3 linked regions of the Diceros bicornis minor genome follow. The main gene of each other region encodes a partner of the protein of the gene in region 2 in a complex. Links are inferred from orthologs where the notes say so. Each region holds a gene or a part of one and is shown on either strand. Other genes may lie near its edges.

Region 1 (3,748 bases), on a different chromosome or scaffold from region 2:
TCCCCAGCCAGCCACAGCAAGTTGGGTCCTCAATTTCAGGCACAGCTTGGTCTCCCAGCCCCTTGCAGTGCACCCTCTGCAGGGTTTTAGCCCCCACCCCACACTCCCAACAGGAACCTCCACAAGGCCCCTATTCTTCCCATTCTGGGCCCAAGCACTCCTCTGGCCCAAACCCAGGAAGCCCATTTCACAGAGGAAGCACAGCCAGAGGAGCAGGATGCTGAGATGGACTCCCCAGCCTAGCAAATGCTGAGCCAGACCCTGCACCCCTGGTTGCTGCCAGCCCAGCATGGGAGGGGTTACCAGGCTCAAAACCTGAGCAGGGCTCCAAAGAGCAAGACTGATGGGATGCGGTAGGGACACAGAACAGGACAGGAGCTCTGTGTCCCCAAGCCCCATGGCACATTCCCATATCTCCTCAGCCGCTGCAGTCGGCCTGAGAGGGGGCTAGCTAGATGCTCCTGGCTGGGCACGGGGAGGCAGCAGTACCGGAAGCACCTTCTCCAGGCCCAGCGGGCAGCAGCGACGGGCATTCCACCGCGTCGACACCCACTCACTGCCGCTGCCGCACTCACAGCAGAGACAGGAAGAGGCAAGCGCCCAACGCAAAACAGCCCAGGAGGCTGGGCCGCCGCCCCTTCCCGCCCCTTCTCTTCCTCCCCGCAGCGGCGGTGAAGCGGATGCCATTTTGAAACCTCCAGGGCTGTGCCCCCGAAGCCAGGCCCCCAGGGACAGTCAACAGATGGGCCCATGATGGAAGACATGCTGTCCCTCGGCCATACGCCCAGCATGAAAAGCCCTGCTTTTCACAGCCTAGGGACCCCAGAGCAGCTCTGGGGCCAAGGGGCCACACCCCCCCACATACACTGTCCAGCCTTCCTCGCTGCTGTGAGGGCCTCCCGCCCCACAACCCTGAAACGCCCCCCAAGTCAGGCTGCCCCTGGGCACCACACTTGCTCCGAGTGGGAAACTGGACGGGAACAACTACATGGCCCAATCTTTGCAGAGGTCCACCACAGATGCCCACCCTCAGCTGGCTCCCCAACTCCTCATCCAGCTGGTCCACCACTCCCCCTTCACAGGGCCTCAAGACCCAACAGGCCCACTCACTCCCAGAGGCCATGTCCGAGACTTTTCGGCCTAGAAGGAGTGCGGGTAGCCCAGTACCCGTCAGCCGATCTCCTCCGCCCCGCCTGCCGGGGCAGCAATATGTCGGCTGTCTCACCACTTCCACTTCCCCCCACCTCTCAAGCATCCACCATCTTCCCTGGCCGTACAGGCGCCGCAACCCAAACTCCTCCACACTCCCTCCTACTCCCCAGACCACCTCCCTCTCACAGGCCCAGACAGGGCTTAGAAACTGAGAAACAGAGAGTCAGTGTACTCTCCCTGGGAAGTTTGAGGCCTGGCCCCCTCCCCCAGCATGACCCGTGGAGCCTCAGTCCAGCCCCTTAGGGGTCTGGGCCCCCTCCAACCAGCCCAGCCCAGCCCAGCCCACCCAGTGCAGGAGGGGTGGGGGAATCTGGGCAAGGCCAGAGTGTGGGAGAGGACTTAAGGGAGGGGGAGCAGAGGGTTTAAGGAGTGATGCCTGCAGAGAGGGACTTGGTGGGCCAGATGCAGAGAACAGGGGTCTCTAGAGGTTTGGGGGTTCCGGCTAGAGAGAGGGCTCATGAGCAGTCATGTTTACCCACTTGAGAGGTCCTTTGGAGTCAGGGTGCACAGGTGGAGGATATAGGGTCCAGAGTAGGGATGGGGCACAGAGGGGAAAGGAAGGAGTGGGTGGGGGCCTGGCAGGGGCCCTCGGGGATACTCATGCCCAATAGGAATAGGGGGAGCAGGTGGGGGAAACAGGTGGTGCCTGAGGGTAGGGGCCGCGTGGGGTCTAGGGGTTTGGGTAAAGTCTAGGGAGAGATGGAAGGACAAGGCAGGGGCTCTGAGGGTCTGTGAGTTGGTGAGCAAGGGTGGATGGTCAAGCAGGGTTCTGGGCAGCTGGTGTTGAGGACCTGGTGGCTGGGTTTGGGGTTTTACGGTCTGGGACGAGCTGAGGGTCTAGAGTCTGCGCTATGGATCAAAGGTCTAGGCCAACCCAGAGTTTTGAACCATTATTTGGGTGTTCTGGCCAGGCCGGGTCCGGGGATTCAAATCCAGGTGTGGGAGTTCACGCCGAGTCTGGAAGTTCGAAGCCGTAGTCTGGAGGTCTAAGTCCTTGTCTGGGGATTTAGGCGGGGAGTGTGTGTGTGGCGGGGGGGGGGGGGGGGGGGGGGTCCCAACGCTGGGCGTGGCCTCACCCAACAGCAGCAACTTCACCTCCCGCGCCGCCTTCTCGCCGTCTTCCCGCAGATTCTTGTCGATCATCTTGGAGCGCTCGGCCGCCGCCTTGTCCTCAGCGCTCACAGTGCAGCCCATCCCGCCGTCCGCCGGCCCGGCCGCCGCCCGGCCCCCACACGGCCCCCGGCCCGGCTCGGCCCCGCCCGACCCACTCCGCTCCCGCCGCCGGCCCTCTACGGGTAGCTCTCGGGTCGGCAGTCCCGAGCGTCTGCGGGCGGTGCCTTCCAGGCCTCCGCGCACCGACGGCTGGGCGGGCCGCGGGTGGAGCCGGAGCGAGCCAGGCCCTGGACTGGGCCGGGGCGGGTCCGGAGGCGGGGCCATAGGGGATCCGGGGCAGGTGATTGGCTCGAGGGCGGAGCGAAGGAGAAGTTAGGCGCTGCTCAGGCTCGGGCCGGGGCTGGAGGCGGAGCCACGCGAGGGATAGCTGTAGGGGTAGAGCCAAGCTCAGAGGGATTGGGCTCCGAGCCGGCTGCAGGCGGGGCCGGGCTCCGATTGGGTGTGGAGCGCCTGGAGCTCAGCGGCCCACGGCGGGGGCGGGAGATCTCGTAGCCGGAGGGTGGGGATCCGGTGCACCTCGCGGCCAGAGCAGGAACCAGTCCTCTGTACTTGTTAGTTGGGCGAGCTGGGTGGAGGAGGCGTGTCTTCGTCACTTGTTAAAGTTAATGAACCCAATAAACTTGTTTCGGGATCTGCAGAGGGCCAGAGCCTCTCTGGACTGGGGCTTGCTCCGTCTTAAGGCAGGTTTGTCACCTTCTCTCTCTGGATTGCAATATTAAAAAAAAAAGTCTCTTACCACCTCTAGTCTGTCTCCCTCAGCTGGGGTGCCTTCTCTAGTCATCCAAGGCTTATCCATCCTTCTCTGATCTTCTAGGAGGCATCCCCCTGCAGGTAGCCATCTTGGATTTCAGTCTGGGACCTGGCAACCAGGACCCAAGAGAGAAGGAGACAGAGAGAATGAGAGAGAGAGAGACAGAGAGAGGGAGGAGAGGGAGAGGGATATGCCGCCTGACTTTTGGAAACATAAGTGGCCATGATCTTATGGCCTGTCCCCACTGGATAGTGGCTGCAACCCTATGGCTGGTGGGGTGGAGGCAGCAGTGTTTTTAGCAGAACATTTCAGTCTTTCTAATCCTGTTCTCCAGGAGGAGTCCACAGCCCCAACCTCCGATGGATATTTGAAGGGTCTGCCAAGGGTTACCCAGGAAGGTGTCCTGTGTGGCCCCAGTAACATGAACCAGGGAGGCCTCGGCCCAAAGACAAGGAAGTTCCACAAAGCCAGGAGGGGAGCTGGCCACCAATGCTTGGCCACCCACAGCCCCATTCAGCACAGACTCCCTCCTTACCACACTGGCACACATCTTGTTTCAGCTCCCCAGTCCTCAGGCTGTCTGCTCTCCCTGCAGTATCTGTGTATCCTATC
Region 2 (3,748 bases):
TCCTCTACGCAGACCTTTCAAGTCTGCATTTCCAGCTCATACCCCTCTCCCACATTCCAGCCCCTGGATTCAACAGCTTATTGGGCAACACCACCTGGATAGCTCACCAGCATTTAAACTCAGTGGGTTCCAAACTGAACTTATAATCTCCTCTTTCAAACCTGTTTCTGTTCCTTTGTTATCATTCTCATTATATGGCATGAACATCCATCCAATTGTCCAAGCCAGAAACCTGGATGTCATGCCCTGACCTCTTCCTCCCTCTCCATTTCTAATAAATTGCCAAGTTCTATTGATTCCACTTCCTGAAGTGCCTCTTAAATCCATCCACTTCTCTCCACCCCCACTGCCAGTACCCTAGTCTAAGTAGTCTAAGCATCATCTTTCACGGAGACCAGTGTAATATAATAGCCTTCAGAAGCATCCGCCCGCCTCCCGCCTCCCGCCTTCCATTTCTTGTCCTCCAGTCCATGCTCTACACTACAGAACTAATCCTGGCTGAACTACTGAGCCTTTCAGCAGTTCTCAGTGCCCTCAAGATAAAATAGGCATTCCTCAGCCAGGTCTACAAGGCTCTCCATAAACCCTCTAGGCTGGTCTTCATCCTGAGGGTTCATTATTCCTCTGTTATGGTACATGTCTCACTTAGAAACTATGACACACTGAACAAAAGTGCCATGGATTTAAACTTTGGGTGTTTACACATACTGTTCCTCTGCTTGGGTTGTTTTTTGCCTTTACTGCCCCTTCACTTGGCTGACTCTCCCTCAGCTTTTTTATTTAGTTCATACTTCATCTCCTCAGGAGGCCAACTTTGATTCCCAAGCCTAGGGTAGGCTAGGCTAGAGGGGCTCCTCTTCTGTGTCCCCACAGTCCTCTCAGGGCACCTCCCACTCTGCTGCAGCTTCCTGCTGACTTGTCTTGTCTCTCCCACTAACATGGAGCTCTATGAAAGCTCTGTCAGTTTTGTTCTACTCACGTCCCTGGTGCCTAGCACAATCTCTGGTTCAATAAATATTTGTCGAATGAAAGAATCTAAGTGAGAGTGTATAACAACTGGTCTGAGAAAGCATGCATTATTTTGTGGGGTAAATTAATACTCGAATTACAATTTATTCCCACTTTCCCTTCTTGAGCTTGGAATAATTTCCTTTTGCTTAACACTGTTCTCTCTCCTGGAATCCTGTTTCCTCCTTTTCTGACTACTGAACTCCAACTGCAAGACTCAGCTCCCAGGTTCCCTCTGTGAAGTTCTCAGACTCCATCTCCTTTGGGTGCCCATGATTCAGACCCTCTTGTGGGACTTCCCATACTGACTTTGACTTTTCCACTAGTTTTGTCTCCCCTCTGCACCTGACTATGGGCTGATAAGGGTCCAGACTGGGTCCAGTTTATCCCTGTGTCCCCAGCACCTAACCCAGGGACTACAATAGCAGGTGTCCAGTAAACATTTAAGGAAAGAAAAGGTCAAGGAAGGGGAAAAATATATTTTGAGCTGGATCATCAGGAAAATGTGGATATTGGCTGATAGGAGGAGTGAAAGTCATTTTGGGGACTGGATGAATGGAAGCAGTCTGGAGTTTTGGGGGGGAAGATGGTGGCACAAAGGGATGGGGTGATGAATGGGGCAGCCAGGCTCTAGGAGGGTGAAACCTAAGGAAGGGCAGCTTGGAGGGACTTGGAAGAGACCTGGAGACATTACTTGGAGACAGAGAAAGAAAGAGGGTACAGAGCCTTGAGAAGAACTCTAACTTGGGTTGCATGGGGATTTGAGGATGAGTGAAATGGAGAAAGGCAGCTCTAGGGAGCAGCCCCCAGTGCCCAGCCTAATTCAGGTTAGAGGATATCTTTTGGGAAGGCCTGAGGTGTTAAGGTGCGGGAGACAGAAGATTATAACTCAAACTTCCCACTCAGGCCTTCCAGAGCGCTCCCTCCCCAAAGCAGTCCCCTTCTTTTTCCGAATCTTGCCTTCCTTTCTTTCCTTCCTCATTGTGGCTTTGTGAACTGAGTGTAAAAGGAAAAGAGAGACCTGGAAAGGTTGGCAAGAGGAGGTCCTTGCCTCCCCACTATCGGCGTCTAGGAGGGGGCTGTGTGTTGGGGAGGATGCTGTGTTTTGGGGGTGACCAGGAGCTCTGGGTGTGACCAGGGGACCAGGGTGTGAAGGTGCTCTGACAAGGTAGTGTGAAGCTGTAATGGAGTTTTACGAGCTGTGGGGGACAAATGTGTCAGGGGGAGCTGTTTGGGGACTCAGGCAGAACTATAAGGGGATGGTGTGGGCGTCTGAGGAGGCAGTGTAGAGGCTGTGGGGGGCCCTCTATTAGTGCTGTGGTGCAGTGAGAAGGAGCTTGTGGAGAGGGCTTAGGGAGGTACCCACCTCGTGTCCCGGCTCCGCGGATGCGAGGGGGCTCGCAGCTGAGGTTGCCGGTACCGCTGCTGTTGAGGAGGGGGCCCCCCGGACGGCACAGGGGAGCCCCCGGCCCGGGTCCGGATCCCTGCACGCTCCGGTTCAGCTTTAGCAGCTCCATGGCCCCGGCCCAGCCGCCGCCTCCCACCGCTCGCCGGGCGGGCTCCCGCTGCGGCTCCACCTGCTCACGCTGCGATTCCGGCTGAGGCTCGCGCCCCGCCTGGTCCCCGCCCCCAACCTCGGCCCCTGCCCCTCCACTCCTCCTCCGCTCGCCCCGCCTAGGCTCGCGTCCCTCCCAGGCTCGGGTCCGCTCTGTCCCACCAGGTGACTCTCCGCACCCTCCCCCGCTCAGGGCTTACTCGCCCCGCTGTGTGACTGTCCTTCAGGCTCTCCCCTCCCTAGATCTCTCCGGTCTTCTCTTAGAGATTTGCTTCCCGCCCACTCCCCTTCACCATGGGTTCCGGGGATTCTCGGGACTGTGTGTGTGTGTGTGTGTGTGTGTGTGTGTGTGTGTGAACATGTGTGTTGGCGGGGATGAGGGTGGGGGTTAGGTGCGGAGGGAGAGGTTGCGAGGAGGGAGGTTGCGGGGGAGGGAGGGTAAGAGGGGTGGGGTAGGGCGCGGCTGCCGTGGGGTCTAGCATCTTTCCCTCGAGGGTCAGGAGACGTGGAGGTGGCAACTGAGACGGAGGCAGCGTGGGAGTCACTGGCTGCGGCGCAGATGCCTTAGCGCGCGCGGAGCGCCGCGGTTACCGTACTATGCCGCAGTGGCCGCAGTGACCGCGACACTATTGCTACCGTAGTTCCCTGCGGCTCCTCGCCGCGGGGCCAGTGTAGTCCCTGCATCTACCCCCAGCACCTGCGACCTCCTACTTCAGGTCCAGCATCCAGGCTTCCACCCAAAGCTCCCAAGGAACCCTCCGCAGCGGGCGAGGATAGGGGGGTGGGAGGGGCAGCATTTGTCCCAGGGGAACTCTGGCAGGGTAAAGGGCTGCCCGGAGGAATAGTCTGACTTGGGTGTTGAGGGCGGCCGGGGTGGTGGTGAGAACTGCCTAGGATAAAGCGGGTGCGGAGGGGAGGGTGGGATATCGTTGCAATCCCTGCCCAGCGCACGTGTAAGAGAGAAGAGGCAGCCGGCTTTCTCCGTGGTCTCCAGGCAGCGCCCACTCTCACCAGACACACTGACGCTCCCTGTTTGCTCTCAGCGCAGGTGGAGCAGCCTGTATAGGGCGTCAGGTTCCCACGGAAGGGGGCTGGAAGGGGGCTGCATCACTGGGGTTCAGCGGGAACAAAACTGAAGGGGGTATGCGGAGGACTGAGGTGGGTTCATCTCCTTGGGCAGGACTA
Region 3 (2,412 bases), on a different chromosome or scaffold from region 2:
AAATATTATGCTGTGATTAGAGGATATTGGGGTCTGTGTGTGAAGGGTGAGGGGCAGAGAGGGTGGGTCTCTCAGGAAGTGGCATTTCAACCAAGAACTCAAGGAGAAAAAGGGGACCCAGCCACGTTTGTGCCTGGAGAAAAGCATTCCAGGTGCAGGGAACAGCAAAGACATAGATTCTGAGCAGGAAAGAACATGGTGCATTTGTGTAAGGGAGAGGGAGAGAGAGGAGGAAGGAACGCACCCATGGCGGCGCCCACAACAGGGACGGCAGGGCTAGCTTGTAGGCTTCGGTAAGGAGTTTAAGTTTTATTCTAAGTACGATGGGAAGTGTTGGATGGTTAAGCCTGGAGTGGCATGCTTTTCTTTATCTTTTAGAAAGCTTTCTCCAGTTGCGACCCCACCACCTCTTCTCCCACTCACCGGTGTAGATTCTTGTTTGATGTTAGGCTCTGGGGACACCAAGAAGAATTAGCCGCGGTCCCTGCCCCTAGGGGGCGCTCAACTCTCCTCCCTGCCTCAGTCTTGCCTCCAACCCATTCCCCTCCCCTGCCCCGGGACACTTGACACAGAGTGATCTATTGGAAGCTAGTTTATTTTGATTGGTTTTTCATGGGGCAGGGCTGGGCTGGGCTAGGAGGTGGCTGGGCTCTGAAGCTTAGTTCTAGGGACGTTGGTCCTGTTCCTCAGCACTGCGGCGGCCGAAGTCCATCCATCCATATGCTTCTTCTTCTTCCTCCACCCACGGCCCCTGCTTCTTGGACAGGTCTGAGGGTCAGAGGAGGGAGAGGGGGTGAGGATGGAGGAAGCATGCCCAGCCTCTAGAGACCGAGGCCTAAGCCAAACCTGGCGGGGCAAAGGAAGCCGGGATGGCTGTCAGCAGCTCCTACCTGCCACCAGGTGTGGGGGACCCTGGAGCCCCAGCTGCCTTCGGTGATGAGAGGCTGGACCCAGCCCATCCAGCCGGTCTGGCCAACGTGGCTCCAGGCCCTTATTGGCCCCCAGATCCGAGGGCGCGTCCTGCACCTGGGAGCGAGGCTTCCAAGAAGCTTCGGAGAAGGCGGCCAGAGCCAGTACAAAGATCAGCGCATACACACACAGTCGCCCCATCTTGTCTGCAAAGGAGAGGAGGGCCGAGCTTAAAGGTGGGCTGTCCAGGCACCCAGAGTCTGGGCCCTGGACCAGATGTACCCCAGGCCCTCCCTGCTGACAGCTCTGCAGTTCTTCGTGGGGTTGTGGACTGTTCCTCTAGTTCGTTTCTCCAGCTCCTGTCGGCTTCCCCAGCCGCCAAGCCTGGGCCTTTCCTCCTTACTTTCCCCAGTTACAGCAACTGCTTCTCTTGGAGGATTTTAAAACCTAGAGCAGTAGTTTCCAAACTGCTCTGCAGAATTTGAGGCCATGTGAGTGGCTCTGTAGATGTTTAAGTCTTGTAATTTAAAGCCAACTTTTAAATAGTAATACCAAAGAAATGCACACTCAGCTGCATTGCAGACCACAGGGTGTCTCTTTGGCGACCCCAGCACCTTCACGCGTGCTGGGTCACATGGTCTTTGTGCAGCCCTCGGAGGGGAGGGTCTCCTGCCTTTTTTGCTTAACTGAGGACTATCCTGTGGTTGTAATTAAGAGAAAATTAAATTGTCACCATTCCCAGCCATGTATCAGGGTGAATCAAGTTTGGAGGAACCACAATACAGAGTAACCTGGATACTCAAACAAACCGAAAATTCAAATCTAAAATTCGGTTCTCTGGATTCAACATCTTTGTGTTCTTTTAGCTTCCTTGTTCTGATTGGCTTTATCAGAAGTAAACGATAAAAATTGTACCTCCTCAGAACACATTTGTATGAATAAAACACTGCTTTGATCTGTTTTGCATAGTCAGATTTCCCTTGGAAGAGAAAGAGTTTTGCTGCTAAAGAAACAAAGTCGAAAATCAGTGAGGTAGAGCCATGCTGTCCACTATGGTAGCCACACGTGGCTCTTTACGTCTAAATTAATTAAAATGAAAAATTCCTCCCTTGCATACACCACATTTCCAGTGCACATGTGGCTGGTGGATACTGTAATGGACAATGCAGAGAGAACATTACCGTCATCGTGGAAAACTCTTTTAGACAGTGCTGGTCTAGAAAAGCGCTTGAGATGAGATCCAGGAGCCCTGGGGTCCAGACCCAGCCCTGCCCAATGATTTGTATGACTTTGGGTAAGTCACATCTCCCTATGGGCCTCAGTTTTCTCTCCTGAGAGATGGGAGAATAGCCCCGTCCTTCTCACCTCGCAGGGGTAAGGTGAGCGTGGAGTGAGAGGGGCAGGGCAGGGCCCTGGTTGAAGCAGCAGGTCAGCTCGAAGGCAAGGGTTGCAAAGGCCAGGGTGGGTCCTAGAGCTGAGGCCTGGTCTGGCCTTGGGCTAGAG

The links.
Region 1: the proteins of CCKBR (region 2) and GNAI2 are in contact, whole or in part, in a cryo-EM structure (PDB 7F8V), measured with the Homo sapiens proteins. The link is inferred for Diceros bicornis minor from reciprocal best matches to the Homo sapiens genes CCKBR and GNAI2. Residues at the interface, in NP_795344.1 of Homo sapiens: Thr87, Thr89, Arg152, Ala155, Ile156, Pro159, Leu160, Ala162, Arg163, Val164, Thr167, Ser169, Ile241, Gly248, Leu249, Lys328, Val331, Leu335, His394, Arg396; in NP_002061.1 of Homo sapiens: Glu28, Ala31, Arg32, Glu33, Val34, Lys193, Leu195, Thr220, Phe337, Thr341, Asp342, Ile344, Ile345, Asn348, Leu349, Lys350, Asp351, Cys352, Gly353, Leu354, Phe355.
Region 3: the proteins of CCKBR (region 2) and GAST are in contact, whole or in part, in a cryo-EM structure (PDB 7XOW), measured with the Homo sapiens proteins. The link is inferred for Diceros bicornis minor from reciprocal best matches to the Homo sapiens genes CCKBR and GAST. Residues at the interface, in NP_795344.1 of Homo sapiens: Cys107, Pro114, Asn115, Gly118, Thr119, Phe120, Met134, Gly135, Val138, Tyr189, Gln204, Cys205, His207, Leu222, Val349, Tyr350, Ala352, Asn353, Arg356, Pro361, Ala363, His364, Leu367, Ser368, Ile372, His376, Tyr380; in NP_000796.1 of Homo sapiens: Glu85, Ala86, Tyr87, Gly88, Trp89, Met90, Asp91, Phe92.

The regions. Positions count from the first base shown.
Region 1 is NC_080741.1:51,281,370-51,285,117, reverse strand, and holds the start of GNAI2 (guanine nucleotide-binding protein G(i) subunit alpha-2), read right to left. Parts: upstream 2,454-3,748; 5' UTR 2,407-2,453; coding exon 2,289-2,406; intron 1-2,288. UniProt on the Homo sapiens protein: Guanine nucleotide-binding proteins (G proteins) are involved as modulators or transducers in various transmembrane signaling systems.
Region 2 is NC_080746.1:64,370,135-64,373,882, reverse strand, and holds the start of CCKBR (gastrin/cholecystokinin type B receptor), read right to left. Parts: upstream 2,547-3,748; 5' UTR 2,526-2,546; coding exon 2,375-2,525; intron 1-2,374. UniProt on the Homo sapiens protein: Receptor for gastrin and cholecystokinin. The CCK-B receptors occur throughout the central nervous system where they modulate anxiety, analgesia, arousal, and neuroleptic activity.
Region 3 is NC_080757.1:41,008,679-41,011,090, reverse strand, and holds GAST (gastrin), read right to left. Parts: upstream 1,111-2,412; coding exon 891-1,110; intron 769-890; coding exon 665-768; 3' UTR 620-664; downstream 1-619. UniProt on the Homo sapiens protein: Gastrin stimulates the stomach mucosa to produce and secrete hydrochloric acid and the pancreas to secrete its digestive enzymes. It also stimulates smooth muscle contraction and increases blood circulation and water secretion in the stomach and intestine.